Linked DNA regions of Oryctolagus cuniculus. The protein of the gene in region 4 purifies or fractionates together with the protein of the main gene of each other region. This does not show direct contact. Links are inferred from orthologs where the notes say so. Each region holds a gene or a part of one and is shown on either strand. Other genes may lie near its edges. The genes, in order: AP2A1, SOS1, AP2A2, SHC1, ABL1, GAB2 and RET.

Region 1 (4,002 bases), on a different chromosome or scaffold from region 4:
CGGGTGGACGCCTGGCACACTTGCTGTGTGCTGGCCCGTGGGACAGGTGCTCCACAGGGCAGGGGCCCCGTCACCCACAACAGTGCTCAGCACTCAGCAGGTGCCCACTGAAGACCCCTCCCTTCATCCACGCATTCAGTCAGGGAACAAACTTATCCTGAGGCCTCCCGCAGCCGGCACAGAACTGGGGACCCAGCCAGCGCCCCCCTCAGCAGCCTGGCCCACCGCTGGGGCCCCAGATAGCAGGCAGCGGGGCCGGGCCCAGAGCAGCTCCCTGTCAGATAACTGACTCGGCAGGATCCCGCTCCAGGCCCTCGGGCCAGGCCTCTCCCCCTCTGCATGGGCAGAACTGGCCCTTCCTCTCCCTTCCTCTTCCTCTTTCTAGATGCCTTCCAGACACCCCCCCCCCCCAGCTCTGAGCCCTGCCTCGTCCACCCCTCTCCCCATGATCCGCTCTTGCCTGGAATCACCCCCCCACCCCCACCCCGAGCTCTCAGGACAAACACCAGCCTGGCCCTGCCCACCTGGCCAGCGTCAGACACGCAGGCCTTGCTCAGAGGCCCGGGCCGGCCTCAGGACCTTGGCACCTGCCAGCCTTCTGCCGTCCCCACGTGTCTCCACTACACGTGGCCTGGCTCGCTCCCCACATCCTGCCCGCGCGGCTCCCAGCGGCTCCGGCGAAGCAGAGCCTCCCTGGGCTCTCTGGCCAGACACAGCCCCCGTTCTCTCAACGTCACGGCCCTCACTGGCCTCAGGACAGCGGCAAATGCCTTCCACTCTCCAGGGAGAAAAGTGAGCTCCAATTCACAGGCCGCGAGACGCACCCTTTGAAAGCGCACAGTCCCATGGCCTCCGGACACTCAGAGCTGGGCAGGCAGCCCCCTGCCCAATCCCAGGACGCTGTCACCCCCGAGGAGCCCGCAAGCCGGGGCGGCCACTGCCCTGTCCTGCGGGCCACCTCCACGGAACCAAGTGACAGAGTCCTCAGGGCCCAGTGGCCGGTACTCAGCCTCTTCCCGGGGTGGCCCACCACGTCCAGCCTCCACGCCTCCTCCCCCGTGGGGCTGGGAGCCTCGGGGTCCCCTGCACCATCACGAACCCCAGAACACAGCGGCGCAGCACACCACCGGCTGAGAAGGGACAGGGCCCTCCCTGACGGGCTCCCCCGCGCCTGGTGCTGGGGCCCCACCTCCCGGGGCCTGTGGGACACCTTCTTGTCATTCCTTCCCCAGCCCCCCAAGCCCTCAAAACGAACCCCAAACCCGACCAGTCCCCTCTCGGCCCTGCGGGGCATCGGCCTCGCCTCCAGCGCCGGTTTCTCTCCCAGCAGCCGCGGGAATGATTTTCAAACAGGGGAGACTGAGGGCTCACCAGGGCCCTGGCCACTCTGCCTGCCGCTCGCTCCCGTGAGCACGGCCCAAGCAGGCGGCCGCCCCAGGACCCGGCAGCCCCCCCCCCCCCCCCGTTATCCTTCTTCTCGGCACCAGCCCGGTCCAGCAGGGCCTCGTCCCGCCTTGCCCGCCTTGCCTTCCCGCACCAAGCAGGGAGCGAAGTTTGCAGACAAGAACACCGGGCCCCAGAGGGTTAAATGATGGGCGAGGGCCCCCCTCCTCGCAGGGCCCCCCGAAGCGCCCGCACCCCCCTGCACCCCCTTTCTATCAACCACACCATCCCTCCCTCCGCTGACACCCTACGGCCTCCCTAGTGCTCACGGTGCACCTGCCACGCACTGCTCAGCTCCGGACGCGCCCCGGGCCCTCCCCGATGCAGCCGCACCTGCCAGGGCCCCGCGAGGGCTGCCCCCACCCTCCGCCAAGGTCACTCAGCTCCCGGAGCTGCTGCCCTCGAACCCAAGCCCCCGCGGACGGCGCCAGCAGCCGCTCCCGGGAACTGCCCGGCCGCCGGGATCACAGTCCCCAGACAGGGAAGGGCTCCGACCCGGGCCCGGCCGCTCCCTGACCCCTGACCCCTCGCTCTCTCTCCAGGACCAGGCTTCCCGCCCCCGCCCCCAGGTTTGCAATCTCTCCCACAAGCCCTGAGCACCCTGACCCCTCCTGGAGGCCTGGGCACCCCCCTCTGACACGGGCCCTAAGCACCCACTCCCCGGGCCCCCGATCCGGGAGTCCCTCCTGCCCCCTCTGGCCCCTGTCCACCCTCCGCCGGCCCGAGGCCCTCCCCAGCGGCTCTCCGCGGCCCCCGCACTCCTGCGCCGCCCATCGCTCCCCGGTCCCGCTCCGTCCCTGACACCCCCTCAGCCCGGCTCCCGTAGGCCCCCCGCGCAGGGGTCTCCGAGCCAGCATCTGTAAGGGCGCCCCTGCCTCTCCACCGCTCCCGGGGGGCACCTCCACGCCTCCGTCCCCGGGACCTGTCCAACGTCTTCCCCTTCCCGACCCACCCGGGGCCTCGAACCCTCCGCGTCGTCACCTCCTGAGGCGCCTCATGACACCCCTGCCCCCTCCCCCCGAAGTTCCCCCCGCCGCCCCTGCAGGGGCGCTGGACCCCGCCCGGTCCCTCGGTGACCCCCAAACCCCCGCGTTCCACGCTGCCCCCTCCCCCGCGTCTCCCGTGTCCCCCCGCCGCGAGCTCACAGTTCCGGATGTCGGAGATGAATACGGCGAGCCCCCGCATCCCATCGCCCTTGGACACGGCCGGCATGATGGCGGTGGTGTCGGCTCCAGGCCTGGCCGGACGGGGCACGGCACAGCGGGCGCTGGCAGGCGGGCACCGGGCGGAAAGGACCCCCAGGCAGCGCCGAGGAGCCGAGCCGGCCGAGGGGGAGGGCGGGCGGGCGGGCCGTGGCACCGCCCCTGACCCCTCCCCGCCTCTTCGCCCGGGGCAGCTCTCGGCTGCCCATTGGATGTGGAGACTGCCGCTCAGACGCGGGCTCGCCCCCGACTCCCTCTTCCATTGGTCTCAAGGCAAAGGCACGCCACTACGATTGGTCCAGTACACCGCTATTTCCGTTCGGGAGCGAGGGGGAGGGGGCGTTGCCCGAGAGACGGGCGGGGTTCCATTACGCACTATAGGACCGCCCCCTTCGCGCGGCCGAGTCCAGCGCTGATTGGATCTGGCCCCTCTCCACGGGGAGAGGGAGGGACGGAAGGAGGGCGGGGGAGAAAGCGCATGAGAAGGCGGGACTTGGGTTGACCGGAACCAATGGGCGGGTAGACCGCCCCCGCAGGCGTCGCGCATTCGCGGGGCGTGTCCTGCTTCCGCTCTCTATTGGACAGTTGTGGGGGCGGGCGAAGCGCGACCATTGGTGGAGAAGGAAAAAAAGAAGGGGGTGTTATTCAGCTGGGCTGGGATAGGTGGAGCGAGGCCTGCAATTCCCTGCTGCAGAGCAGGGGCTGGGCGGGGCGAGACGGCGTGAGGTGTCGACTGCGCAGGCGTCAATGTGTGGCCTTTGCCCCGCCCGCAGCCCTAGGGCCCTAATCCCCTTCCGGGAAGCCTGGCTGGGCCCTGCCTCGCTGCGCGGCCCCCGCGTGTGGATCTGACGCGTCGGGAGACCTGGGCTCCCGGAGGGGCAGGACCTGTTGTTACTCCGTCCTGGCGAGAGGCTGAGTGACGCAGACGTGGAGGAACCCGAACTTAATCCTATTTTAGCGTCTCGCTGCGCATGCTCCGCCCCCTGTCCCCGCCAGCCGCGATGGAGCCGGACGACCCCGGTGGACAGCGGGCAAGGGGCTGCGGCCCGACCCTGCCGCCCCACGCCGCCTCCCGGGGGGCTCGGGCCCGTCGGCTGCCAGACCCCCGGCGCCCCGGGCTGCTGAGAAATTTGGGGCCAAGGGCGCGGGGAGGGCCGTTCCTCCAGCCCTGGACCTGCCGCCCTCCTGTGACCTGGGGAGCGGGGCCTCCGGGAATGAGCCCGCGGGGTGCGTCTCGGGCGCTGGCGGTCGGGTCGGGGGTGCAAGCGGGAAGAGCAGGTGGATCCGTCCGCCGGGGCTGCCTGGCTTGGGGGCAAGCCCGTGCTGGATTCTAGGATGGCCAGCTCAGGCTGTGCAC
Region 2 (4,272 bases), on a different chromosome or scaffold from region 4:
GACTCCCTGCTGGTAGACAGTTGGATAAGAATTGGAAGATACATTTATCAGTCAGACTGTACACTTCTACCTCCTCCCATCATTTCTATTCCAAGGGCAACTCTGTTAGAGTCAAAAGCCCCTTTGTGTAGAGGTGGGCGTTTGGCCTAGCTGCTAAGCCAGAGTTTGGGTTCAATATCAGGCCCTGGCTTCTGATTCCAGCTTTTGCTAATATGGACTCCAAGAGGCAGTTGTGACGGCTCAAGTAATCGGGTTCCTGTCACCCACATGGGAAACCTGGAGCTCCCAACTCCCAGCTTCAGTCCTCGCCATTATGAGCACTGGGAAAGTTAGCCAGCAGAGGAGAGCAAGGTGTTCTCTCTCACTCTCCCTCTCTCTCCACTGCCCAAACTTTCAAGTCAATAAACACCTAAGCATTGTTTTATGTAAACAAGCAAAGGGGACTGCTGAGGACTTTGTAAACGCCAATGTGCACCTGTCTAAAGACGGCAGCTATCCATGCACCCGCAGCAGGTCACTGGCTGGCTTTTCACGTGGGACCTGAGTGGAGAGATTTTTCTTCAACAAAAGCTGTGAATTCAGATTTTGTGTAATATCTCCCATGTGTAAACACTTAACAATAAACAACACTGTGCCAGCCAAACAAAACTCTTCTGAGGACAGATCCCAGCAGGGCCCCCCACGTGGCAGACAGTGAGTCTGCCAATTCTAATGCCATTCTTTGCACTACTTCCAAGGATCCTCAACCCACAGACCGGTGGTTCCCCTGGGATGGGACCTGTAAGCTTCTAAGCAAAATGACCCCAAGTGAGTAATGCTTCATGAGGCTTTTTGGGTATGTTTTCAGACAACTGTTTTATTTTCCTCTACCCTGATGGAACACCAGCTTCTAGCACCACTGTGACCTCCTACTCCCCTTCTATCACAAGAAGACACACTTGCAGGCAAAGCACAACTAAACAGATGGAGAACCTGGTAGGAGTTCTAATGAATGAAGTATACCGATAACACACACACACACACACACACAAAACACACTTTATTAGAAAACACCAAAGAGATGTTAATGACTAGCCAAACATTTGAGGGGGAAAAGTTGGTAGTTCAATCCTTAATATATGAGCAGATTTTGCTAACTAAGTAGGTTCCACTGTAAGACTGCAAAAGGGGGAGGGGGAGACCAGGGCAAAAAAAGAAAGTAAAAGCTTCTGGCCTTGGATAAACTCAGACACCTTTTAAGACACTGTGTTCAAGTGGAAATGTTTACCATGAAAGACTAACCATAACCCCAGCCCTCAGGAGGAGCAAAGCTGTATTTTAACCAGATCTCATGAAACATTCTTTGGGCAACAAGAAACTGGGATTTAGACACACAGTTGAAAGCATAAAGCCACCCCACCAGAAAAGGAAGAAATGAAGAAAAGGAAACGAAAACAGTCCAGTTGTTTTTAAACTCACACACCAGTTTCTGATGTTTTTAACGTGCAGTGTTTGTCACAACGTTGCTTTACAAACAAAATGTAGCAACATTTCCTATATAACTTTAGATAACAATGTGGCCAACGTAAACATACAAAACAGAGGTTAAAAATTCTAACCCAAATGACATCACCAAGATTTTCAACCGTCAAAAAATAATAAGTCTGAAAATACTGGCATGTGTAGCAGCTCCTCGTTAATCGGAGGGGGTGCCCAGGAGAACGCAGAGGGAGCAAAGCAGGCCATGCTGCCGCCGGCAGGCAAGCTCGCAGCAAACATGATGGCCAGAGCGTTATCGGGCCAGTGAAAGGAGCGTCCCGGACACTTCAACCGGGAGGCTGACAGCAGCTCGGCAAAGAGACCGGCCAGGAGGAGGGGTGGCCTGCGCTGACCTCCGCTGAACCCCGGGGCTCCCCCGACTGCTGTCTCCGACCCTCTCCCCGCGGCCTGCCTTCCCACACACCGGGGCACGTCCCCGCCGAGCGCCCGCCGGCTGCGGAGGGACCGGGAAGAAAGGCGGCCCTGCCCGCGCGCGCCCCGCCTCCCCGGCCGGGCTCCGACCCGGCGCCCGCCTCGGGGGCTGCGGCCGGGCAGCGGGGTTCCCCGCGCTCCTCACCTTCTTCAGCGCAGGCACCAGCAGCCCCCGCCACTTGGGCGCGTTCTCCTCGCTGAAAAACTCGTACGGCAGCTGCTGCGCCTGCATGGTGCCCCCGGGGCGCCTCTGGGCGGGGAGAGGGGCGGCGGCGACGGCCCGGCCGGGAAGCCGCGAGAGGGCGAGCTCGCAGCGCGGAACAGGGCCGCGGCCCCTCCGGACGGCCCGGCCCCCTCGGGGCGCCGCACGGCCGGGCTAGCCCCGGAGAGGCGGCTGCGGGACGAGGCCCGCGCGCGGCCACCCGCCCGACACCGGCACCAGCCGCGGAGAGCGAACACGGCCCGGAGGTGGCGGCGGCGGCGGCGGCATCCCGGCCGCACCACCGCCCTGGGGCCAGGCCCCCCGCCCCTCCCCGGCCCGCCGGCGCCGCCCCGAGCTGCCCTCCGCCGCGGCCGCCGCCCGCCCGCCCGCTGCCGGGGCTACGCTCCGCTCCGGGCCCGGCCTGCCCGGCCGAGGAGCTGGCGGCAGGGGGAGGGCGTGTGGAGGGGCGCTCCTGCCGCGGCGCCCGCTCGCCCAGCGAGGACTTCGACACGCTAGAGTCTTAGAGCGGGAGGGAGCTCGGGGGCGAGGAAGGGCCCGAAGTCGCCGCTGGGGTTCCGGCCGCCGGGTTGCACCGCGGCCGCCGCCGCCGCCGCCGCCGCCGGTGCAGCGCTGGAGCTTCCTACTAGCGAACTGAACCTGCGCGCTACTGAGCATGCGCCGCCGGGCTGGGCCGGTTCCCTCCGGGTTTTCCGGCTCCCGGTGAAGGAGGGAGGGCGAGGGAGGGCGCCGGGCCCGGCTGTGGCTGCGCTCCCGGGGGCTGCAGGGGAGGGGCGGTGGGGCCCGAGAAGTCGAACCCTGGCCGAATGGGGCCTGCGGGTGGGGGTGGGAGGCGAGCTGTGCTGAGACGGCCCCCATTGTGTGGCCGCGCCGCGAGGGATCCCACCCCTCTCTTGGAGTCCCCGGGCCTTGGTTTCGGAAAGGGGTGTGTGTGTGTGTCTGGGTCTGTGTGTGTACTTTGTTCCCGACCATGAGGATAAGGGCTGCTCGGAGCGTGCAACGTATAGTAAACAGACTGCACAAAGATAGGTTTCCCTCTGCTCAGTATTTGTCAGGTGGCAGAAGCGACTGCGATGTTTCCAGCCGGCCTTTCCACAGCAAGGGTAGAATGGGTGTTCAGGTTCAGCCTGCGCAAACCCACATCAGACAACCAACTCCAGTCAGTGCTTCCCTGCCCTGGAAAGTGGGACATCATACGCGGTTCCCAGGTTCCAGAGAACCTCACTTGGTCTGTTTTGCGTTTTCTATCTTCCCCGGCATTTTGGTTAGATCGTGAACGCCTGCAAGGCAGATCTTTTTCTCCAGGGAATGCTTGTGGAATGCTAAAGGTGCAGTGTATAAATTTGTCCCTCGGTTCCAGGGCTGCAGATGTTGGTTTCCAATACCACTGTTGGGTAGACACCTCGTGGTTTTCATTAAACACTAAAGTATCGCTCCCTGAGCCCTCACAGCAATCATGTTTTCATTTCACAGAGAAGACAGTGCAGAGGACTAGCCTGGGTTGAGCTGGCATTTGTGTCCTGCTGGTCCATGGAACAATAGCCAGGATCCCAAAGCTGAGAAATGTTTAAGCGGTGCATCTTAATCTTTACAGAACTTCTCTGAGAATCTGAATCAAGTCTTGGGCTTTTTCCTTTTAAAAATGGGCATGCCTGATTTACACTTTCAGAAGTGTTCAGTGACATTTTGAAACCCGTCAGTCAGTCCTCTGGAAGAGGAGAACCTACATTGTTTGGAGTCGAGTTGGGGGCGTCTCAGTGGAGAACGTGTTAGACCCCTTCCACTACCTACAGGGCTGATATAGGTGAAAAGGCTTTGTGTGGTTCTAAAGGAGTGAGCCTACACTGGTGGTCTGCTGCCAACTATTCCTTGGCTCTTCGTTGCTCTTAGAATACATTTCAGGCCAGCGCCGCGGCTCACTAGGCTAATCCTCCGCCTGCAGCGCGGGTACACCGGGTTCTAGTCCCGGTTGGGGCGCCGGTTCTGTCCCGGTTGCTCCTCTTCCAGTCCAGCTCTCTGCTGTGGCCCAGGAAGGCAGTGGAGGATGGCCCAAGTGCTTGGGCCCGGCACCCTCATGGGAGACCAGGACCAGGAGGAAGCAC
Region 3 (3,500 bases), on a different chromosome or scaffold from region 4:
TGTGGAGTCTCTGGCCTGCTGTGGTCGGGGGGAGGTGACGCCCCTCCTTTCCCATGGCTTGTCCTGAATTTTTGACATGGAGGATAGTCTAGGGTAGGTTGTCTGCTGTAATTAATAAATGTATTTAAGGGCCGGCGCCGCGGCTCACTAGGCTAATCCTCCGCCTAGCAGCGCCGGCACACCGGGTTCTAGTCCCGGTCGGGGCGCCGGATTCTGTCCCAGTTGCCCCTCTTCCAGGCCAGCTCTCTGCTGTGGCCAGGGAGTGCAGTGGAGGATGGCCCAGGTGCTTGGGCCCTGCACCCCATGGGAGACCAGGAAAAGCACCTGGCTCCTGGCTCCTGCCATCGGATCAGCGCGGTGCGCCGGCCGCAGCGCGCCAGCCGCGGCGGCCATTGGAGGGTGAACGAACGGCAAAGGAAGACCTTTCTCTCTGTCTCTCTCTTTCACTGTCCACTCTGCCTGTCAAAAAAATAAATAAATAAATAAATAAATAAATGTATTTAAAAGGTGTGGCAGGGCCAGCCCCGTGGCGTAGTGGGTGAAGCTGCCACCTGCAGTGCCAGCATCCCACATGGGCACCTGTTCAAGTCCTGGCTGCTCCAGTTCAATCCAGCTCCCTGCTATGGCCTAGGAAAGCAGTGGAAGACGGTCCAGGTGCTTGGGCCCCTGTACCCATGTGGGAGACCCAGAAAAAGCTCCTGGCTCTGATCGGCCCAGCTCCGGCCATTGCGACCATTTGGGGAGTGAACCAGTGGATGGAAGACCTCTGTCCCCCTGCCTCTCCCTCTGACTCTGACTTTCGAAATAAATCCAAAAACTTTAAAAAAATAAAAAAAGATGTTGTTTGTGGCAGGCGTGTGGTGCGGTGGGCCCAGCCTCCCATATCCGAGTGTCTTTTTGAGTCTCGGCTGCTCCGCTTCCAATCCAGTTCCCTGCGAACGTTCCTGGGAAAGCAGCAGAGGACGGCCCAAGTGCTTGGGTCCCTGCACCCATCGGGGAGACCTGGATGGAGTCTTGGGCTCCTGGCATTGGCCTGGCCCAGCCCCAGCTGTTACGGCAATTTGGGGAGTGAGCCAGCAGCTGGAAGATCTCTGTTTTCCCCCCTCTCTGCCTTCAAAAAAATACACGAACGAGTACATCTTTTTTTTTTTTTTTTTTTTGACAGGCAGAGTGGACAGTGAGAGTGAGAGACAGAGAGAAAGGTCTTCCTTTGCCGTTCGTTCACCCTCCAATGGCCGCCGCGGCCAGCGCGCTGTGGCTGGCGCACCGCGCTGATCCGATGGCAGGAGCCAGGAGCCAGGTGCTTTTCCTGGTCTCCCATGGGGTGCAGGGCCCAAGCACCTGGGCCATCCTCCACTGCACTCCCTGGCCACAGCAGAGAGCTGGCCTGGAAGAGGGGCAACCGGGACAGAATCCGGCGCCCCGACCGGGACTAGAACCCGGTGTGCCGGCGCCGCTAGGTGGAGGATTAGCCTAGTGAGCCGCGGCGCCGGCCCGAACGAGTACATCTTTAAAAAAGAAAAGATGTTGGTTCACGGCAGGATTTGCAAATTCCTTGGCTGCAGGTGGGATTGTGGAAGGTGTGAGGGAGGCCGGGCCGGCTCGGCGGACTGCCTTGGCCCAGGGTTGTCTGGGAGGCAGAACCCGCCGTGCCAAGTGCTCTGGTTCTAAGAAGGAAGCCCCAGGTTTGTGCTCGGACGCAGCGCTGGTTGGAAGTCGTGTGGAGGGGAGCCCCCTGTCTGCAGCCGTGTGGACGGGCCCTCGGCCTGCGCTGATCTGTTCTCTTCTGCAGGTGACAAGGCTCTCGACGGCTACAGTAAGAAAAAGTACGTCTGCAAGCTGCTCTTCATCTTCCTCCTTGGTCACGACATTGACTTTGGACACATGGAGGCCGTGAACCTGCTCAGCTCAAACAGATACACGGAGAAGCAGATCGTGAGTGCCTCGCGGGGCCGCGGGGGGCAGCCCCCACGAGTGTGGACTGGCACGGCGTGGAGCCACCTCTCGTGGGTGCCTCATGTGTCCACCCTTCCGTGGTCACAGGCAGTTTGTTTCTGAAACAGGTGCCAGGTTAGGTTGCCCCCGGCCCCAGCCCGCGCCCCAGCCCGTGCCCAGCCCGCTCACGTTTCCGGAGCTTTCTCAGGGCTGCAGTCTTGGCCGGCCGTGTTCTCTTGTAGTCCTGTTACTTCCGTGTCTTCCACGTGATGAAGTCACGTGTTCGTATTTGTGAAGAACTTGAACTCACAGCGGTTACAGCACACTCCGTGCCTCAGGGTGTGCAGTCCAGTCGGCCCTGCGTCCACGGGTACGGGGCTGGAGACCCTGGGAAAGCAGTCGCGCCTGTGGCAAGCAGCGCAGGGTCCCTTTGCCGTCACCGCCCGGCGGCGCGGCGTGCAGGTCTGTGTGCAGCGCTTGCACTGTGCTGGCTGTGCAGGTGCCCGGCCGTGCTACAGAGGGCCGTGCCCCTCAGGGGAGTCCTGGAGCGAGTCCCTGTGGTGCTCAGGACTGGTGGCGTTGCTGTCTGTCCCGCAGTGCACCAAGAGGCCTGCGCTGGAGACCCTTAGTAACTGAAGGCCGATGGGGTCGCGCCCTTGTGCAGTGGGGCAGCGGCATTGATGTAGAGTTGCAGCGTGAGGGGGGACCCGAGGGAGGAGGGCGGGCCTGCTGGACCGTGGCCCGGCGATGGCGTTGCCTGGATCAGGTGGGAAGCGCGCAGTGGACACAGCAGACACATCTGACAGGCTGCACGTGGAGGAGACCACGTGGCAGAGCTGGCAGTGACCCGGGCTGCGTTCTGGGCAGCTGGATGCGAGGGGTGGCAGTGACCGTGCAGGTGGGGTGACTCTGGGGACACAGGTTCAGAGGGACAGACGGAGTAGGCAGCGTTTCTGGGAATCCCAGTTTGTCACTGGGTGATGTGGGTTTGGGCTGAGCAGTGTGGGGGGGGTCTGGTCTCTGAGGACATCAAAGCCAACTTGTCCCAGAGCAGTGCTGTCCTGTTGCGGGCCTTGGACTCCTCCTCATCCTCCTCTTCTTTCTCCTCCCTCCTCCTCCCTCCTCCTTCCCCTCCCCCTCCTCCCCCCTCGTCCTCTCCCCTCCCCCCATCCTCCTCCTCCTCCTCGTCCTCTCCCCTCCCCCCCATCCTCGTCCTCCCCCCCTCAGTGTGGCGATGCTCCCAGCTGCATGGAGCTCCCAGCTGCGTGGAGGGCACAGCTGTGCGGAGGGCGCGGCTGTGTGGAGTGTGGAGGGTGCGGCTGTGTGGAGTGCGCGGCTGCGTGGAGCTCCCGGCTGTGTGGAGTGCGCGACTGTGTGGAGGGCACGGCTGTGCGGAGTGTGTGGAGTGCGCGACTGTGTGGAGGGCACGGCTGTGCGGAGTGTGTGGAGGGCGCGGCTGTGTGGAGTGTGGAGGGCGCGGCTGCGTGGAGCGCACGGCTCGCTCCGGTGGTCACGAGCCTCTGTCCTCGTGTCCTCTGGAAACACAGGGCTACCTCTTCATCTCC
Region 4 (4,300 bases):
GGGGGTGTGGGGGACTGATCCTCCTCAGCAGAAGCCCCTCCTCATCTCTGCTCGGTGAGAGGGGAAGGGCGGCCCTGGTCCCCCTCACCTGCCGCACCGCCATCCCGCCCCACCCAGTGCGCCCCACCATGCCTCACCTCTCTGATTCACGGGGTCTTTGGCAACGTAGGCAACATACTCGGCTGTGTCCTAAGACAGACAGAGTGAGAAGGGGCAGGTTAGCTAAATTCTACAGCTCCACCTTACTCCTGATGCCTAAACCCAGTCTTTTTCAAATACCTCTGCAACCCTACCTCCCCCACTGCCCTGGCTGATGGCTTCCCAATCCTTAGCCCCTTCCCCTCCCCCCCCCCAACCTGTGCTCTGTTCCCCAACTCACCGGATCTCCGCCGGACGCAAATGAGATAGACTGCATGTGGTGGTTGGCAATGATCTGAGAATTGGCACGGGGGATGGAAAAGGAAAAGAATGGCATGTGTCAGCCCCCACCCCTGGCCCAGAACCCTGCCGTCCCAGCCTCATTCTCTTAGCTTCTCACCCTAACTTCTTCCTACCTTCTGGCTACTCCAAAGCCCTCCACCTTAGTTTTTGGCCTCACAACTACATCTGCCCCTAGCCCTACCTCCCATGTCTCTGGTACCCCCTACCTAACCCCACCAACCTGTTTACAGTCTGCGGCCATGAGGTTGAGGCTGCTGGTGGAGACGGTGAGAGTGATTGGCATTCCAGCAAATTTCAGGTTACTCCTCCCCAGGATAGAGCTGAGCGGGCGGCCACAGGGCTAGAAAAGGCCCAGAGTCTCAGAAGCCGAGGGTTCCCGACACCAGGAAACACTTCTGCCTTCCCCTTGCCCCTCCACATCACCCAGCACCATCCCAGCCCCAGCCACCCCAGGTACCTTTCTCCTCCGTGTGGCTCCCTTAGCACCCGGCACAGCCTCACACACCAGACTGATGGCCTCCCTGGGGAAAGAGGGGTGCTCAGACCCACAGGCTGCCTCCCACTCGGCTGGGGCTGCCACAGGGCTGGGGGAGGGGAGGGCCAGGCCAGACTCCCAGGGCACTCCAGGCTCTTTGTCGTGGTGGATTGAATTAAGGGCCTTTAATATTTGATGACACTGAGAGGCCGCTTCCTGGCTGATTGGGTTAGGGCCTCAATGGGTACGGCCCCACCCCCTTCCAGCCACCAAACCTCCCATTCCCTTCCCAAAGGCAGCAGCCACCACCGGTCTAACCCCACTTTCTGCCCTAGCCCCACAACTCTAAAGGCCGGAGAGGTAACAAGGATCCAGCCCAGAGGTGTCTCTTTTCAGTCACACTTGGACTCACTGTCCCAACTTTCTCTCAACCCACCTGCCCACCCACAGGTAGGCCACCTGCACCAAGGGCCCCACTCCCCATTCCCACAGCCTTACTAACCCCAGGACTCCCACAAGCCCTCCCCCTCCCCCCCACTAACCTGGTGACCTGCGTCCGGGTGTTGAAGTCGAGGGCACGCATTGACTGCAGGACCTCCACACAGCCCATGTACTGAGGGGAGGGGGACAGCAGTTCAGCCACCTCCCCCCACCCCAGCGCTAGGGCCCTAGGACTTTTCCCTCCATAGTCCCTAAGGGAAGGAAAGCTGAGGCAGCTCGCTCACTGCCCGCAGCTACATCCCACAATGTACAAGACAACGGGGAGTGAGGAGAGAGAGAGAGAGAGGACAAGCTGGGAGCGCCTCATGCACTGGGGGAGACTGGAGGGCAGTGCTGGGCACTGGGTGGGATGGGTGACACCTCCAGAAGCGGGAGGGGTCCACCGGGGGGAGTCCAGGAGTCCTCATGCCCACACTCGCCTCCGAGGTGCTGGGCATTGTGCGAAGCATGGCAGGGTGGGGGTGGGTAGGCAAAAGAAGGAGGAGGGCCCTGGCAGAGCTGGAAGAGGTCAGAGATCAGGCAGAAAGGTTAAGAAGCAGGACGCGGCGACAGAGGGGCTGCTGAGGGAGAGCAGGAGGAGTCCCACAAAGCTGCCGCGAGCAGAGGAGCTGCAGGGGTATGGGAGGGAGTGCAGGGGAGGATGTTCACTCACCCGAACCAAGTAGGAAACCCCAGGTCCCATGACTTTGTCGTTGGGATGCAGCCAGCCCCGCGTGGGCTTATTGACAAAGCTCCCGTGGCGGGTCCACTCCTCGCCCCCCAGCTGGCCCCCTTCCACCCGAGTCCTGCGCCCGCCGCCTCCACTCAGCTTGTTCATGTCCTGGAGGAGGGGCAGGGGGCCTGAGTCCGGCATGGCTGCCCCTGTGATCCCCTCCCCATCCTCGGCTGCCCTTCCTGGCTCCCCCTTGGGCCCCAGGCGGCCCCCAGCAGGGTTGGCCAGCTTCAGGTTGCTCATCCGGGGGAAGAAGGAGCACAGGGTGGTGGGACTGTCGTCCCCGGGCAGAGGGGGCAGGATTGGCCCCAGGGACGAGGCTGAAGGGGAAGGCAGCTCCTCCGGAGGGGTGGACCCTGAAGCCCCCTCTTCCAGCGACGACAGAGACTCATTCCGAAGTGGGTTGTACTTGGGCTTGGGGGGCAAGAGATCCATGGCTGGGGCGAGAGCAGGGCTGCTGCCCGGCCCGGCCCCCCTGCCAGCTGGGGCAAGGGGGCCAGGCAGGGGGCATCCCCAGGCCCCGAGCCTGCCGGGCCTCTGTGGCCCAGGAGGGGCAGGAGTCCTGGGGAGGGAGAGGGGCAAGTGGCTTCCGCTCCCCCAGCTCAGACCCAGACAGTTTCAGGCCCCATCCCCGCCCAGCGTGGAGCCTCTTCTCTGGCAGAGAAGAGAACAGGCTGGACCCAGAGCTGCCTGGCTCCTCCCCAGGGGCGGGGAGCTAAGGAGAGAGACCAATCCGGAGGACAGTGCTGACTCACAGGCTCAGAGGGGCTGAGCCCCCACTGCCGCCGCCCCAGCCCAGAACTCAGGCAGGGGCAGAGCTATCCTGCCCCTCTCCCCTACCCTAAACAAACAACTAGTGATCTGGGGGAGAAGTGGGAGTTTGGAGGAAAGGATGGAGGAGGAAGGAGAGGAGGGAGATAAGAGACGGTCTGGATCAATCCAAACCGGACATGGGCAGGAAGTCAGGGGAGGGGAGGGGGAATGAGGGAGGAAACAGAGGCAGCTGGGGGTGGAAAAGGGAGGAGATCCCAGAGCTCAGCATTTCCCTTCCTGTCCTGCTGGAACACGCAAATTCCTCCATGGTCCAGCCCAGGCCACCCCTCATCACTGCCACATCCAGTGGGGTGAGGGCCCCAGGGAGCTTAGGCCATTAGCATCCTCTTCCAGGGCAGCTGTGGAATGGAACTAGGGAAATGGGAAAAGGAAGGAAGTGGTCCCAGTGGGTGCACACTGGGACCCAGAGGAAGGGCAAAACTTGGGAAGTCAGGGAAATAAAAGCCCAACCCCAGGGGGCCACCAAGGAGCCAGCAGGCTAGAGCTGCAGCCAGAGGACGTGTGGGTCAAGCCTCCTCCTCTGCTCCTGGCACCCACCACACCAAGCAGGCAGTGGCCAGTGGCCAAGCACTGTTCTGCACGCTGGCAAGGGTGAGGACAGGGCAGTCCCTGGGCCCACCAGGTATCCTCCCAGCCCTCCTCCAGCAGTGCCCCTCACACCAGGGGAGGAGTCACCAAGCGATGGAGGTCAGGAGGCAGGCAAACATGTGGCAGTGAACCATGTGCGGAGAACAGTCCCAAACCTCCAAACCTCCGTGGCTTCCTGCCACAGCTCTGCTTGAGGAAGCCTTGGAGGAAGTTGGAAAATGACCAAAACACAAGAAGTAGATACCTCTTCCCCTAGGCTCACCTCGGAATTACCCTTAGCTCTAAGTCAGAAGATTAAAAGAAATCTATAACGATGACCAATTCTAGCACTTAAAATGTGCTAGATACGCTCTCACCTCCTCTTCGTCCTCATGGCAGGAGAATCTGTCACTCTATTTCCTAAGACCCCAGGCCGAGAGAAGGAAAGGTTTCTTCCACAGCCACACACACACACACACACACACACACCCTCATCCTTAGGGTCAGCACTCTCTGGAAGCCTGCAGTATGGGCAGGCAGAGGATGACCAACAGGTGTGAGCATTTCAAAGAAAAGAGGGAGTCTGTCTCTAAATTTGCATAGGGAGAAGTGAGAGCCTACTGGAAGTTCAGGTGATTGGGTGTTGGAGGGGGGAGCCCAGCAGGGAGGAGGCGGGAGGAGCGGGAAGGGGCAGGAAATGGCGAAAGCCTGAGGAATGTTTCCAGCAGGGAAGGCAGGACAAGTGGAGCCAGGAGGAATGCCCAGACAAG
Region 5 (4,066 bases), on a different chromosome or scaffold from region 4:
CAGTCCCAGGCTGGGCCAGGCCAAAGCCAGGAGCTGGGACTGCATCTGGATCTCCCATGTGGGTGGCAGGTGCCCAAGCACCTGGGCCATCGTCTGCCGTCTCCCAGGATACACCCATCAGCAGCAAAAACCCGGAACCTGGAGACAGCTAGGACTCAAACCCCAACATTCCTATACAGATGTGGGCATCCCAAGGGGCGCTTAACTCACTGGGCCATGACGCCTGCCCCCCAGTTAAGGTGTTTTTTTTTAAAGATTTATTTATTTTGAAAAAGTAACAGAGAGAGGGAGCTTCCAGCTGTTGGTTCACTCCCCAGATGGCCGCGACGGCCAGCACTGGGCCAGGCTGAAGCCAGGAGCCTCATCCGGGTCTCCCACATGGGTGGCAGGGGCCCCGGGGGTCGTCCTCTGCTGCTTTCCCAGGCCATGAGCAGGGAGCTGGATCAGAAGTGGAGCAGCCAGGAACCGACGCTGCACCCACAGGAGATGCCGCATCACAGGTGGCGCCCCCTCCCACCCAGGATACTATGTTAAGGTAAAGGACACGAACGAACGAAGCTGATTCAGTGGTCCGACCTCTGTTTCAGACGGCGGCCAGGCGACCCCTGCTTCACCCCCACAGAATCACTGGAGGTGAAGAGAAGACGCCCACAGGAACGCCAGAGCGCCCAGCGTCCCCCTGCACCGGGAGAGAAGCGGGCGCGGGCTCCGGCCGCGGGGAGTTCCGGGCTCAGCCCCCGAACGCTGCCTTCTCCCGCAGAGCCGGGGAGCGTCTGCGGGCCCCACTGCCCTCCTAAAGGCCAGGGGGTTCCGTGTCAACTGAGACCTGAGGTTCCCAAACCGTGAGAACAGACGCGGGCTCGCTAAGGACCCACGCGAGTCGGGGAGCCGCCGCGAAGAAGCCAGCTAACTGCCACCTGGTCGGGAAACGGAGGCCCCGGGTCAGCACCAAGGGGACGCGGCGCACGGCTCGGTGTGCAGGGGGCACGCAGGCACCAGGACACCGTTTCCAGGACTAAGCGGGTTCCACGCGAGGCTCCGGGACCACCGCGAGCGCCCAGCGGACGCGGCAGGCACGGGCACCCGCGGAGCCGGCAGGCACGGGCACCCGCGGACGCGGCAGGCACGGGCACCCGCGGAGCCGCCGGGACGCGCCCGCGACACTCACCGTGCTCCACGAAGACGTTGCAGTGCGGGCCCCCATGGCGCGCCGAGTCCTTCTTGCCGGCTCCTTTGATGAAGTGCAGGGCGGGCAGACTCGGCCTTCTCTGGTCCCCAAGAACTTTTCCAGGCTGCTGCCCCATAAAGTTAGCGCGGGGCTCCCCTTTCCAGAAGAGGGTCCAGGAGCTTCCGGAACGGTCGGTGGCCTCGGCGGGGCCTTCCACACTCAGCGCATGCCCGCCACGCCACGGCGGCCCGCACGGGCAGTCGCGGGCAGGCACCTGCCGGGGGCTCCACGCATGGACACGGGGGGCCCGCTGACTGTTCCCAGCCTCGGGCTTTGGGGAGTAAGGTGATTCCCACACTCCCCAAAGGTTTCGCCGTCTTTAAGGATACTCCACTGAGTGAACCACGCTTTTTCTTTTTTGGGAAGACGCACCTAAGCAGAACTATTCCCGGAGCGGTGGGGCGCAGGGCGACAATCCCTTAGTCCTTCCGGCAGCGTCGCGGGCCCCGGGGTGCTCGCCCGCGCCTGTCCCCCAGCAAAGCTCCCGCCGGGCCGGGCCGGGCCGGCTGCGCTCCGGCTCCTCGCTCTCCCCGGCCCTCCGGAAAAGGACGCGCGGGTCAGCCGGATCTCGGCGCGCTCGGCACGGAATGCATGGCCAGCAACTTTTAAGTCCGCTTTTTAAAAGGCCTGTGAAACCAATCCAGGCTCTTCCTTTGCATGGAAGTTTCTGGCTGGGCTGAGACCAAGGGGGCCGTAGGTGACATTGGAAGAAGTCAGGGCATCAGAGGCTGGCGGGGGCAACCTGGCGGGCCATGGGAGGCCACCTGACAGCACGCAGCGGGTCTGAATGGGGGTCTCCGGCGGCCAGCCTTGGGGCCGGCAGCGGGAGCGGGGGGCGACTCCGGGGCGGGGCACGGGCGGCTTACTCGGGGGGCGACGCTTCTCCACGCCTCAGGAAACGGGGGCGTCCCACGTCCGGAGCGAACAGAGACCACCCCGGGGGGGGGGCGTCCCAGAGCCGCGGCGGGGCTGCAGAGACGAAAGACTCGCGCGGCCCGAAGGCGGGAGACGGGCCGACGAGAGAGGAGGCCTGGCCGCCTCAGCTGCCCCGAGCCCGGGGGTCTCTGCCCGAGACACCCCCGTCCCGCGGCCCCGGACGCTGCCGCCGCCGCCAAGCAGTCACATCCCCCGAACTCCGCCGAGGGACCCCGCCTGCCCCCCGCCGGTAGGGGCCGTGGGCCACGAAGGGGCTCCTCAACCGCAGCACCCAGGAACCGGCTCCGACTTCGGCGCTGCTCAGGGACAGTGGCCGACCCCCGCGGCCGCCATGATGGATTACGAGCCGCTCCACAACGAGGCCAGGCCCCGCCCCCGGCCCCGCCCCCCGGCGCCGTCCGGAGCCCGCCTCGCGTGGACTGGGATGCCCCCGGCGCCGCTTTCCTGGGACCCCGTCGCACCTTCTGGCTCTGGCCTCAGTGCCTCGCAGGAGCCCGGCCCGGGACGACCTTTTAAAGGCGACTTTTCCGAGTGCAAGGTGAGTGGTAAGGAAGCGCCCGCCTCCCCTGTACTGCGATTGGCCTCCGAGGATCCTGGCCAGGCCTCTCTCCTCCATCCCATTGGTCGACGCGGGCTGGCATGCTGGAGGCTTCGGCCAATGGAAGTCGGCGCAGCCCGCGGGGCGTGCCGGGAGTTGTAGTCCCGCGGCGCCGAGGCGTCCTGCGCGCTGCTCCCGGCTGAAGCGCTTCTGGCCGTAGCTCTCCGGAGCCGGTGCTCTCGCCGGCCTCGCGTCGGGCTGGCCGGCGGGGCGCCAAAGCAGGGGCCAAGCTGTGGATCGGATTCTCCGAGAACCGGAGTCGGATTCCTTCCTGGAAACCGGGGGATTCGGTGCGCTCCGCCCCTGCGCCCTTGCAGACCCCGGCGCTGGAGAAGACAGGGCCGCAGGGGCGGCGCCCGGGCAGGAGCAGCGCTCGCCCCGGGCCCGGGGCCGGCCTCCGTCGAGTGCGCCGTCGCCTTGCGCCCCGGGGCCGGCTCCCCGAGTGCGGACGCGGAAGCGGGCTGGGGTTTCCTCCTCTCTGCCGTGCGCCCCAGGCCTCGGGACGCTGCCCCCGCCGCGGGGGCGCCAGGGGTCTCGCAGGGGCTTCCGCTGGGCTGGGAACCGGCACCGGCTTCGCGAGGAGAGGGCCCCTGGGGTCCCTGGACGCGCAGCAGGTGGGGCCCTGAGGGTCTTCGGGGCTAATCGCTTGGGCTTCGCGCGGGCGGGCGGCCCTGACCGGCGGCATCGGTCCCTCCCACCATTGACCCTGCTCAGCGCCCTCACTTTTCTTTAGTGGGGGGGCGGGGGGTGGCGTTTGCTTTTCCTGTGAGCCCATGCACGCTTCACTCACTTCCTCCACGTCTTCGTCCTCCAGTTTGGCTAAAATCCGGGTAATCGAATCAGAACTCCAACAGACGCACCCAGCAGGCGTCCGGCGGTGCTGGGTGCCGCGGTGGACACGCTGCCCTCGCGCTCAGAGCGCGTGTTGCGAGGGGCAGGGGCCGTCTGGACGCTGGGAGTCTCATCTCGGACCCGGCACCTTTGCCAGCTGCTCCCCCCTGCCCGCCGACACCTTCCCAGGGGACCCACCTGGCTCCTTCACCTGCTCGTGGGGCTCGGGGCTGCTTCCCTTACGAGGTCATCCTGAGGTCCAAACGAGACCTGGCGTGGGTTTCCACGGAGACGGTGACTGAGGCTCCCGGAAGTCACTGTGGGCTGCACCTGACCTGAAGACTTGTCCTGGTCTCCATTCCCAGTGACAGGAGAGCCCCACGCCCTGGCCGTACCTCTCTCCCTGGAGATGCACTCTGCTTTATAACCCCCCGTGTAACACCACAGAATGATGTCTTTAAGGGCTTGTACCT
Region 6 (4,200 bases), on a different chromosome or scaffold from region 4:
ACATCACATTCTAGCCTAAGGAAAGCTGCTGTGAGTCTGGTCAGGAGCCTGCAGCGGCATAGAAGACAGGTGATAGACAGGCTGAGACCCGCCATCTAGGGCGAGTCAAGTGGTTTAGACGGTTATTTTGAGCTAACTGTTGTTTGTGAACACAAATACCCATGAAATGGGTCATAAAGGCAGTCTGAGTGATAGCACCAAAGTAGTCATCAATCAAATGTAGATACAATGTCAACTTGCTTGTTTGCAAATGGTTTTAAAAACAAAGTTTCAAGGTTCCTTAGGGTAGTGTTCTAATTTGAAGAGTCACATTTCTTTCCTCTTTTTTTTGGGGGGGGGGGGACAGGATGCTATTCCACTAGTTGGTATGGTATATCTGAAAGCTCTGTAGGACAAGGTATTTTTTAAAATATTTACATAAATGTTAATAGCAAAGGACTTGTTCCTTAACCCTAATTAAAACTCAATTTTCTGAGTAAACTGATAAAACCCTAAGAAGGAAAAAAGTTTCTCTTAGTGATTATAATACTTTGCTTCACACTGACACCCCAAAATGAGCTTTATAAAATGGTGAGACACATTTCGCTGCCTCATCCCCACTATGTTAAATCTGTGTCCACTTTCAAATGTCATGTGCTAAATCCTTAGATTTTTTTTTTCCCCAACGAATGATCTAAGAGCTTGATTTCATTGACACACACATTTGCACTCCCCAACAACAACACTTCCTTTGAAAAACAGAATGTCACTTCCTCAGTCCAGAGGCCAGCAGTCCCTTGGTTCAGAACTGGGGAGCCAAGACAGGAAACTCTGGTAAGCTCCTGCCCCCCGCCCCCCGCCACGGGTGCAGCTGACAGAGGGCAGGGTCTGTTCAGAGCTCCCTTGATGCACTGCAGCTGGAAGGCGAGGCGCCCTTCCAGGCTGTGGGAGTGAGCCCTGAGCCCAGCACGCACATCGGTGCAACAAGGACACAGCCTGGGATGCGAGCAGGGGGAAGATGGGAGACCTTGACACCGTTCTTTGGCAGCCTTCCTTCCGTTTTCCAAACTCCTTGTGACTACCCTGAGGCTGATTGCAGCCGAATCTCAGGACCTGGCACCATCTTGTACTTTGACCTCACCACACAAGGCACCCTCTGGCTAGGGGGAGAAAAACCCAAACTCCTCACGTCTCAGCTCCCGACTGTTCCACCTGGCCCGGTGCTGCCGGCTTCTTCCCTGGAGGGGAGTGGCTGCCCCGCGGTCTCAGTAAACAACGCCGGTTAGCACCACCTGGCAACCGAAACCCTGATCTCCCCGACCCCAGACGCCCAAGGGCGGCACCTCAGCCAACCGGGGCCAGTTATTAGCGGACCAAACTGCAGTGTCACCATGGGGGCGGGGAGGGGGGGACGGAGGGGAAGGCGAGAGATACACAGAATAAAGGGAAAGAGGGGACAAACAAATGAGTCACTTAACACACGAGCTGCACATGCCGCTGACGCCGCCCGTGATGCGGCGCCCGGGGACGGAGAGGAAGCCGCGGCCACCGGGAGGGGCCGGCAGAGAAAGGGCAGGGGAGAGGGCTCGAGGCGCCCGGTTCTTTGTGGGGCCCGCGCCCCCTCGCCGCGGGCTGAAGCCGCTCCGGGCTTGCGAGGGTGCCCCGGGCGCGGGAATCAACTCTCACGGTCTCCGAAAACAATCAATACAAACTTCCACACCGGATTTAGTTCACACCGAGGCTGGCTGGGGAGGCGCGGCCGACGCGCCCGCCGAGCCGACGAGCCGCAGCCTCACCCCGCTGGCACGGCCCGCCCCGCCCCTCCGCGGCGCACCTGTGACAGGTGTGCAGGTGCCCCACGCGCCGGCGAGCCGCGGGGCGCGCCCGCCGCTCCTCGCCCCCCAGAGGACGCGGGGACCCGCCCTCCCCGTCGGCGCCGCCCCTCCGGAGCCCTCAGCCCCTCGCAGGCCCGGGGCGCCCCGAAGGTGCCGCGCCCGCTAGCCGCCCGCCCGCACTCACATAGCGCCTCAACTTCTTCTCGGGGGGCGATTTCCTCAGCCAGCCGGTGCACACCACGTCGCCTCCGCCGCCGCTCATGCTGCCGGCCGCCTGGAGCCCGCCGCCGGGACGCGGCGACAAGGGCGCGGGCGCGGGCTGCTGGGTCAGCCGGCCGGCGGTGCGCAGCTCAGGGAGGGGAGGGGCTGGCGGCCCGCGGCCACGGGCGAGCGTGAGGACAAGGCGGCGCGGCCCGCCTGCGGCGCGCGCCCGAAGCCCCGCGCGCGCACTCGCGCACTCCCGGCCGCGGCGGGGCGCCCCAGCAGGAAGGCCGGAGCGTTGGCCACGCCCACTGCCCGCCGCGCCCCCAGTAGGGCGGCCTCGCCGGACGCTGAGGACGCCCGGCAGCTCCGGGCTCGGGAGGCCGGAGGTCCGCGAGCGCGCGGAAAGCCGTGGGGCCGCGCCCCCTGGAGTCTTGCTTTTTTCCCCCAAGCCTCGGGCAGCGGGCGGGGGAGGCGGCCGCGCCCCGGGGGGCGGGGGTGTGGTGGGAGGCGGTGATTGCCCGCCATCGCAGATTGATTTTGCGTGGAGTGTGGAGAGAGAGGGGATCTGCGGGCCGCTCGCCTTCCCGATCCATTCCCAGAGTTTCGGGTTGCAGAGGGTCAGGTTCCAGTTGAAAGGAGTGACCTGCTTTTCTGCAGGCGTTTCAGGGACTCGCGCACACCCGTGGCGGGAGCAGGAAAGCCCGAAACCAGACCTACTAAGTGCAGGGGAGCTTTTGCATTCATCATTTACATGATTGTCTCTGCATCTACAAACTGGGCGGGCGGTATTAGGACCGTTTCACCGTTCGCCTCAGGGCCCAAAGCGAGCTCCGGGCGTAGCCGGGTTTCTAATTCAGGTGTTGGCGGGGAGGAGGGGTCGGTCCCGCTCCTCCGCTGTTTCAGATGGGTGAATTGCTTTAATGTCTGCGGATCCACTTGGGGGCCTCTTACTGATAGGAAACCAAGTCCAGCTGGTGCCCTCCCACATTGCCTCTGGGAAAATGGAATTCAGTAGAAGAAAACCCGGATGGTTTGTAGCATCAGGGAATCAAGCATCGGTCCGTGTATTTCATGGTGAATTGGAAGGCAAGGTGGGGCAGAACAAGAAATGGTGTCGGGGCCGGATCCGTGGCTCACTTTGTTAATCCTCCGCCTGCGGCGCCAGCATCCCATATGGGCACCGGGTTCTAGTCCCGGTTGCTCCTCTTCAGTCCGGCTCTCTGCTGTGGCCCGGGAGGGCAGTGGAGGATGGCCCAAGTGCTTGTGCTCCTGCACCGGCATGGGAGACCAGGAAGAGGCTCCTGGCTCCCCTGGCTCCTGGCTTCGGATCGGCGCAGCGCCGGCCGTGGCGGCCATGTGGGGCGTGAACCAACGGAAGGAAGACCTTTCTCTCTGTATCTCTCTCACTGTCTAACTCTGCCTGTCAAAAAAAGAAAGAAAGAAAGAAATGGTGTCAACATTCCCAGAGTTCCAACTCATTGAGGTAGACCTTGAGACTTCTGTGTAAACTGGGATATAATGATAGCCTCTCATTGTGATTTAACGGAGGTAAATAGTGTATGGAAGCACACAGGGAACTCAATATTTCAAGGGGGGTGGGAGGAGCTGTGTAGGAGCTTTTATTTTTTTTTTTTTAACTCAGTTCCTTTATAAGGAGCATTGAAAGGTAAGTCTTTCCCTAACTTCTCTGAGAAGGGGACAGTCACCATTTTATCAGTGTGAGAAGCAGGGTGCCGCTCCCTTGCTACCTAGACTAGGCTATTTTGCTCATTTCTCCATCTCCATGCATTTCAGTTTGTTGTTTCAAGCAGCTGGACATCATCTGAATCAACAGATACTGGTTGGGCTGGAGCAAGTTCACCCCTTTCAGTTTGCAAATGTTAGCCCCCTGCTATGTGCTCAGCTCTTCTAGACATCCTGGAAGGTTTCGCGATCAGCACCCCTGGGCCCACCACTTCACTGTCTTCAATATCCGGTGTGCTGTTATATAAAATACAAAGCCAGAATGATCAGGCTACGTTCCAACTGTTCCAACTCAGGGATTCTTGAACCGTATGCGAGGGCTACCACTAGAATTATGGCCATTTTAAACTTCTGGCTTTGTGAGACATAAATATCAAAATGGTCAGCCAAACCGTCACTCCCAACCAAAATAAAGCAGTCCTTCTGACTTCACTCACAT
Region 7 (4,060 bases), on a different chromosome or scaffold from region 4:
AAAAAAAAAAAAAAAAAGAGTGCTTTGCCATTAAACAGGGAAACCTGGATTGATTTCCCAGCTCCCCATATTAGCTAAGCCAACCCGGGCTGTTACGGGTATTTGGGGATAGAACTAGTGAAAGGGAACTCTCTCTCACTCTTTCTCTTCTTTCTCTCGAATAAATAATTTCACAAAAAAAAAAAACCTTTTAAGACCATCAGCAGGGAGCAAACTACTAAACCTGATGTTTGCTGTTTTATTCCCGGCAGAGAAGCTGAAGGAAGGAATTCCTTGAACAGTGGAGCTGGCTGAACTGACAGCCTATTCCCATGCATGTGTGCATGTCATGTGGGACGAACCAGTGACAGCAGGAAGCCCTAGCCCTTGGGCCACCGGTGGATGGCCCCAGTAGCTATCAGGAGTTTCTGGCAACATTTTAATTCTTGCAACGGAACACTGAAGCATCAGAAATCTGAAGTTTGCAAGGAGGAAGTTCCAGAGAAAAGAAAGCTGACACATTTTGTGTTACATAATTTTATTTACACAACTGAAATTGTTTTCTTAGTCACCTTGATTACAAAAAAAACCAAGTGAACAGGGTATGATTGAATACCTTTGCATAATGGGTTTTACAAATTTCAGTAACTGGTTACTACTTAACACTCAGTAATACTGGATACTTAGTCAAGTCTGCATCTACGTGGTCAGAATTTTGTCTGCTGGGACTGTTAGGATGCACACTTCTATAACTCAGGAGCAGACAACTGGACTATTAGTCAGGGGTTTGTTCCCCAACACTGGGTCAGCCGGGAAGACCCAGACTTCTCATCCCGCTGAGAATAAACCTGCCACAGCTACAAGGCACTGGAAAGGGAGAGTGCCTCTTTACGTCTGCATTTGGTAAGACTCTCTTTAAGCACATCTGAACATCAAGTTCACCACGACTTCTAGACTTCTAGGTATTTGCAAAAGAATGTATCACAGTGTATCTGAAAAGTGGCTCAAACTAAAGCCGGGCTACAGGTCCAGTACACACTTTGCCAGTTGTCTTCCTGTGTGTGCACACACGTAACCCTAAGGCTCTCTCGCGTCCCCGCCCAAGCTCTCTTGGCCACCCCCAAACGCCAGATTGCACTGCCTTTGTGAAACACCCACGAAGTACAGTATTTTCAACAAGACTCTCAGGAGTCCTATCACAGCGCTTGAAGTCTGAGGATCAGGCCGTGTCTTAGTAACCACCCCTTTCCTGCAGTGACAAGGCTCAGCCGGCCGCAAGAGCTGCTGGGACTTCCCAAGAGCCACACAGCCCCTCCCCCACAAGGCAGCGAATGCATGTGGCCACAGTGAAGAAGCTTCCGTAGGCGGCACGGTCACAAATCTAAGCAACAGACCACGCCCTGCTTATAGCAGCATCAAATGAGAAACACAGGGAGAGCCGACCCGTGAGCTTGTGGCGGGAGCTCTACAAGAGCCAAACGCGGTCTCTTCATTCCAGAATGTGCCCAGAGGGAGGGGCCCGGCCCGGGCCACTGCCAGGGCTACTTGGAACACAGCCAGATCTGTCCCTTTGGGGCTAAGTGGCTACCGCACCAAGCCGAGTGAACAGGGGCCCCACCAGCTCCCAGCACGCAATCCGAGCTGCAGTTGCTTTCTTGGTGCAGGGGCAGGCCAGTGGTGGGTGGGGACAGCAGAGGCCTGTGCTGTCAGTGGTCCTGGGACTGGAGACCACTGCAACTCCAGACACTCCCTTTTCTTCATCCGGTTCTGGTCACTCGGGACTGAACACGCGAGGGTGGTGCAGCGGGCCCAGGACGGGTAGACGGGTCTTGCGAGCCCTCTTCCCCCACGCCGCTGCTACCTGCGAGCCCTCTTCCCCCAAGGCCGCTGCTACCGACATAGCAAGCGACTCTCTCTCCATTGTGCTAAATCTAAGAACCATTGGTATTGAGATATAATGACTAAACGTCTTTCTAAGAGAAGGTTACATGGTTTCAACAACAAAACAAAAACAGAACCTTCTCGGGACCTCAAATGCTGAACCGCGGCCCCAGCCCCCCACCCCATCCTGAGACCCCCACATCCCCTCCAGCCCTGGCAGGAGGAAGACTGTGACACCACCACCCAGCCCCATACCGGGCTCTCAGCCTGAACAGGGACGGGTCACTCTGGCCCCACTGCGTCCCTCCTGCCTCGTGTGTACAGGTGTGTATGTGTGTGCATGTGTGCTTGTGTGCTTCATGTTTAATCCTTGTTGCTCTGTTTGGCGGCAACCATAAAAAGCAGACAGTTCAGGTACAATCACTTATACAAGGTAGTGGCAGACCCACGAGGGGGACACAGAGCACACGGCAGTCACAGAGGGTCACACACCGACAGGGCGCTGAGAAGGGACTGCTCAGCCACGGAGTCTCGGGACCCTCGTCCCAGTGGGGGGACGTGGTCTGGTGCGGGGGAAAAGTCACCGGCTTACTGGGGTCAAAACCGCTTGGGGGGACCAGTGACCACCAACTACCGGGAACGAGTCTGCCACCTTGGCAACTGAACTTGGCTTGGCCAGTGTGATGTGCACCAAAGGAGCCGGTGCTGGTGGCTTCCCACGCTTGGCCTGTTTCTTCCCCCTGGCGAGTCCGTTACCTTTCCCAAAGGAATGTTAACTATCAAAGGAGTCCGTTAGTTTTGCCGCTGAGGGTGAAACCATCCAGTTAGCATATACACTATCATTTGCATATCTTGGGAACCCAGGGTTAGTGCCATCAGTTCTCGTGAGTGGTACAGGACTCTCTCCGGGCCAGCTCGGGTCTGACATGCCTAAAAATGAAAACACATCATTCGCTCTGCACCGAAGACCCCGCGTTTCACGTGTAGACAGCAAGGCCTTGGCAAAACTCCCTTAGGGGCTCAAACCGAACTCGCGGGTCCCGGGACCATTGCTCCGGGTTCCCAAGTAGCACGTGATTTTGACTTTCAGGAGCTTCCATCTCAAATCAGATGCGGATTGGAACTGTATAATGTATATATATATACATATATATATTTTTTTTCTCAACAGCTTAGGGCAGTGGGAACGCTCTCTAGAATGTTCTCTGACTCAAAGGAGCCTACTCGCCGCTCGTCCAGGCCGACACCGGAGGAGAGGACCTTCCCCACTGAGGGCGCATGCAGGCCAACCCTGCAGGGTTGTGGGCACTCAGGCAGTGAGTCAGGAGGCTATGCGGGAGGAACACTCTTGAGACATGGCTCGCGACGCCGAGATCTCAAAACGGACCAGGAGGGGAGTTAGGAAACAGGAGAAATGGCAAGGACTTCATCGAAGACGAAAGCAGGAGTTTTGGCAAGAACCGGTATTTACTGTCCATCGCAACACCACGGCACCACAGACCAGCTCTTAGCACTGGCTTCATGAGTGACAACAGTCAAAGACGTGGGGAAGGCAAAGGATGTGAAAACAGCCGTGCGGGGGCGCCCTCCCACTGCCTCCTGCGGCTGGGGGTGGCAGTGGGGCTGCCTGCTGGTCCCACAGGTGCCCCTGGGGCCCCCCAGTGCAGGCTGGGGACACTGGCTGCTCCCTCCTGCATCAGCAGGGCCACTGCCTGCTTCCCACCCCATATGGGACATTCCTGTGGTTTTTCTCAACCTCCCCTGAGTGCTCTGGCCCCATCTCTCTCCCTCCCTCTCTCCCACCTTTCTCTCCTCATGGCAATGAGGCTTATTTTCACATCCTTTTGGAAAAACAGAGTTGCAAAAATGCCCAAGTGTAAACTGGGTGCAGAGTCAAGACACTTACAAATGAAAAGGGTTGAGAGCGGGCTTTGGTTTCGTTGAGATCAGAAACACTCTTAGGAAAGCGTTACAGACAGCAGAGGGAGGGCAGAGGGCGACAGTGCTGCTAGAATCTAGTAAAGGCATGTGAAATTCTACCATAGAGTTTGTTTTCAATCCATGTGGAAGGAAGGGCGCGAGGGAGGGGAGCATTATTACAGTCCACCAGGGGTGTCTCTTCTTCCGAGAGACCATCCTCATAAAGCAGCGAGTCGGACGGCGTGGACGCGGCCAGGTCTAGGTAGTCCTGGAAGACAGA

Evidence for each region.
Region 1: the proteins of SHC1 (region 4) and AP2A1 purify together in Homo sapiens (affinity purification with mass spectrometry; 4 studies listed by BioGRID and IntAct, counting the BioPlex papers as one, with this or other methods). This does not show direct contact. The link is inferred for Oryctolagus cuniculus from reciprocal best matches to the Homo sapiens genes SHC1 and AP2A1.
Region 2: the proteins of SHC1 (region 4) and SOS1 purify together in Homo sapiens (affinity purification with western blotting; 14 studies listed by BioGRID and IntAct, with this or other methods). This does not show direct contact. The link is inferred for Oryctolagus cuniculus from reciprocal best matches to the Homo sapiens genes SHC1 and SOS1.
Region 3: the proteins of SHC1 (region 4) and AP2A2 purify together in Homo sapiens (affinity purification with mass spectrometry; 4 studies listed by BioGRID and IntAct, with this or other methods). This does not show direct contact. The link is inferred for Oryctolagus cuniculus from reciprocal best matches to the Homo sapiens genes SHC1 and AP2A2.
Region 5: the proteins of SHC1 (region 4) and ABL1 purify together in Homo sapiens (affinity purification with western blotting; 5 studies listed by BioGRID, with this or other methods). This does not show direct contact. The link is inferred for Oryctolagus cuniculus from reciprocal best matches to the Homo sapiens genes SHC1 and ABL1.
Region 6: the proteins of SHC1 (region 4) and GAB2 purify together in Homo sapiens (affinity purification with western blotting; 6 studies listed by BioGRID and IntAct, with this or other methods). This does not show direct contact. The link is inferred for Oryctolagus cuniculus from reciprocal best matches to the Homo sapiens genes SHC1 and GAB2.
Region 7: the proteins of SHC1 (region 4) and RET purify together in Homo sapiens (affinity purification with western blotting; 4 studies listed by BioGRID and IntAct, with this or other methods). This does not show direct contact. The link is inferred for Oryctolagus cuniculus from reciprocal best matches to the Homo sapiens genes SHC1 and RET.

The regions. Positions count from the first base shown.
Region 1 is NC_091449.1:7,772,822-7,776,823, forward strand, and holds the start of AP2A1 (AP-2 complex subunit alpha-1), read right to left. Parts: upstream 2,801-4,002; 5' UTR 2,656-2,800; coding exon 2,589-2,655; intron 1-2,588.
Region 2 is NC_091433.1:163,753,097-163,757,368, reverse strand, and holds the start of SOS1 (son of sevenless homolog 1), read right to left. Parts: upstream 2,801-4,272; 5' UTR 2,183-2,800; coding exon 2,096-2,182; intron 1-2,095.
Region 3 is NC_091432.1:452,252-455,751, forward strand, and holds part of AP2A2 (AP-2 complex subunit alpha-2), read left to right. Parts: intron 1-1,792; coding exon 1,793-1,935; intron 1,936-3,482; coding exon 3,483-3,500. UniProt on the Homo sapiens protein: Component of the adaptor protein complex 2 (AP-2). Adaptor protein complexes function in protein transport via transport vesicles in different membrane traffic pathways.
Region 4 is NC_091438.1:43,538,890-43,543,189, reverse strand, and holds the start of SHC1 (SHC-transforming protein 1), read right to left. Parts: upstream 2,801-4,300; 5' UTR 2,565-2,800; coding exon 2,070-2,564; intron 1,530-2,069; coding exon 1,459-1,529; intron 963-1,458; coding exon 899-962; intron 782-898; coding exon 662-781; intron 434-661; coding exon 380-433; intron 190-379; coding exon 138-189; intron 1-137. UniProt on the Homo sapiens protein: Signaling adapter that couples activated growth factor receptors to signaling pathways. Participates in a signaling cascade initiated by activated KIT and KITLG/SCF.
Region 5 is NC_091432.1:233,356,130-233,360,195, reverse strand, and holds the start of ABL1 (tyrosine-protein kinase ABL1), read right to left. Parts: upstream 2,801-4,066; 5' UTR 2,786-2,800; coding exon 2,626-2,785; intron 1,933-2,625; coding exon of another isoform or gene 1,834-1,932; intron 1,688-1,833; exon of another isoform or gene 1,305-1,687; coding exon of another isoform or gene 1,169-1,304; intron 1-1,168. Other genes in the region: uncharacterized protein, read right to left, coding at 1,834-1,932. UniProt on the Homo sapiens protein: Non-receptor tyrosine-protein kinase that plays a role in many key processes linked to cell growth and survival such as cytoskeleton remodeling in response to extracellular stimuli, cell motility and adhesion, receptor endocytosis, autophagy, DNA damage response and apoptosis.
Region 6 is NC_091432.1:69,487,453-69,491,652, forward strand, and holds the start of GAB2 (GRB2-associated-binding protein 2), read right to left. Parts: upstream 2,801-4,200; 5' UTR 2,077-2,800; coding exon 1,999-2,076; intron 1-1,998. UniProt on the Homo sapiens protein: Adapter protein which acts downstream of several membrane receptors including cytokine, antigen, hormone, cell matrix and growth factor receptors to regulate multiple signaling pathways.
Region 7 is NC_091446.1:85,322,927-85,326,986, forward strand, and holds the end of RET (proto-oncogene tyrosine-protein kinase receptor Ret), read right to left. Parts: intron 4,049-4,060; coding exon 3,901-4,048; intron 2,791-3,900; coding exon 2,633-2,790; 3' UTR 501-2,632; downstream 1-500. UniProt on the Homo sapiens protein: Receptor tyrosine-protein kinase involved in numerous cellular mechanisms including cell proliferation, neuronal navigation, cell migration, and cell differentiation in response to glia cell line-derived growth family factors (GDNF, NRTN, ARTN, PSPN and GDF15).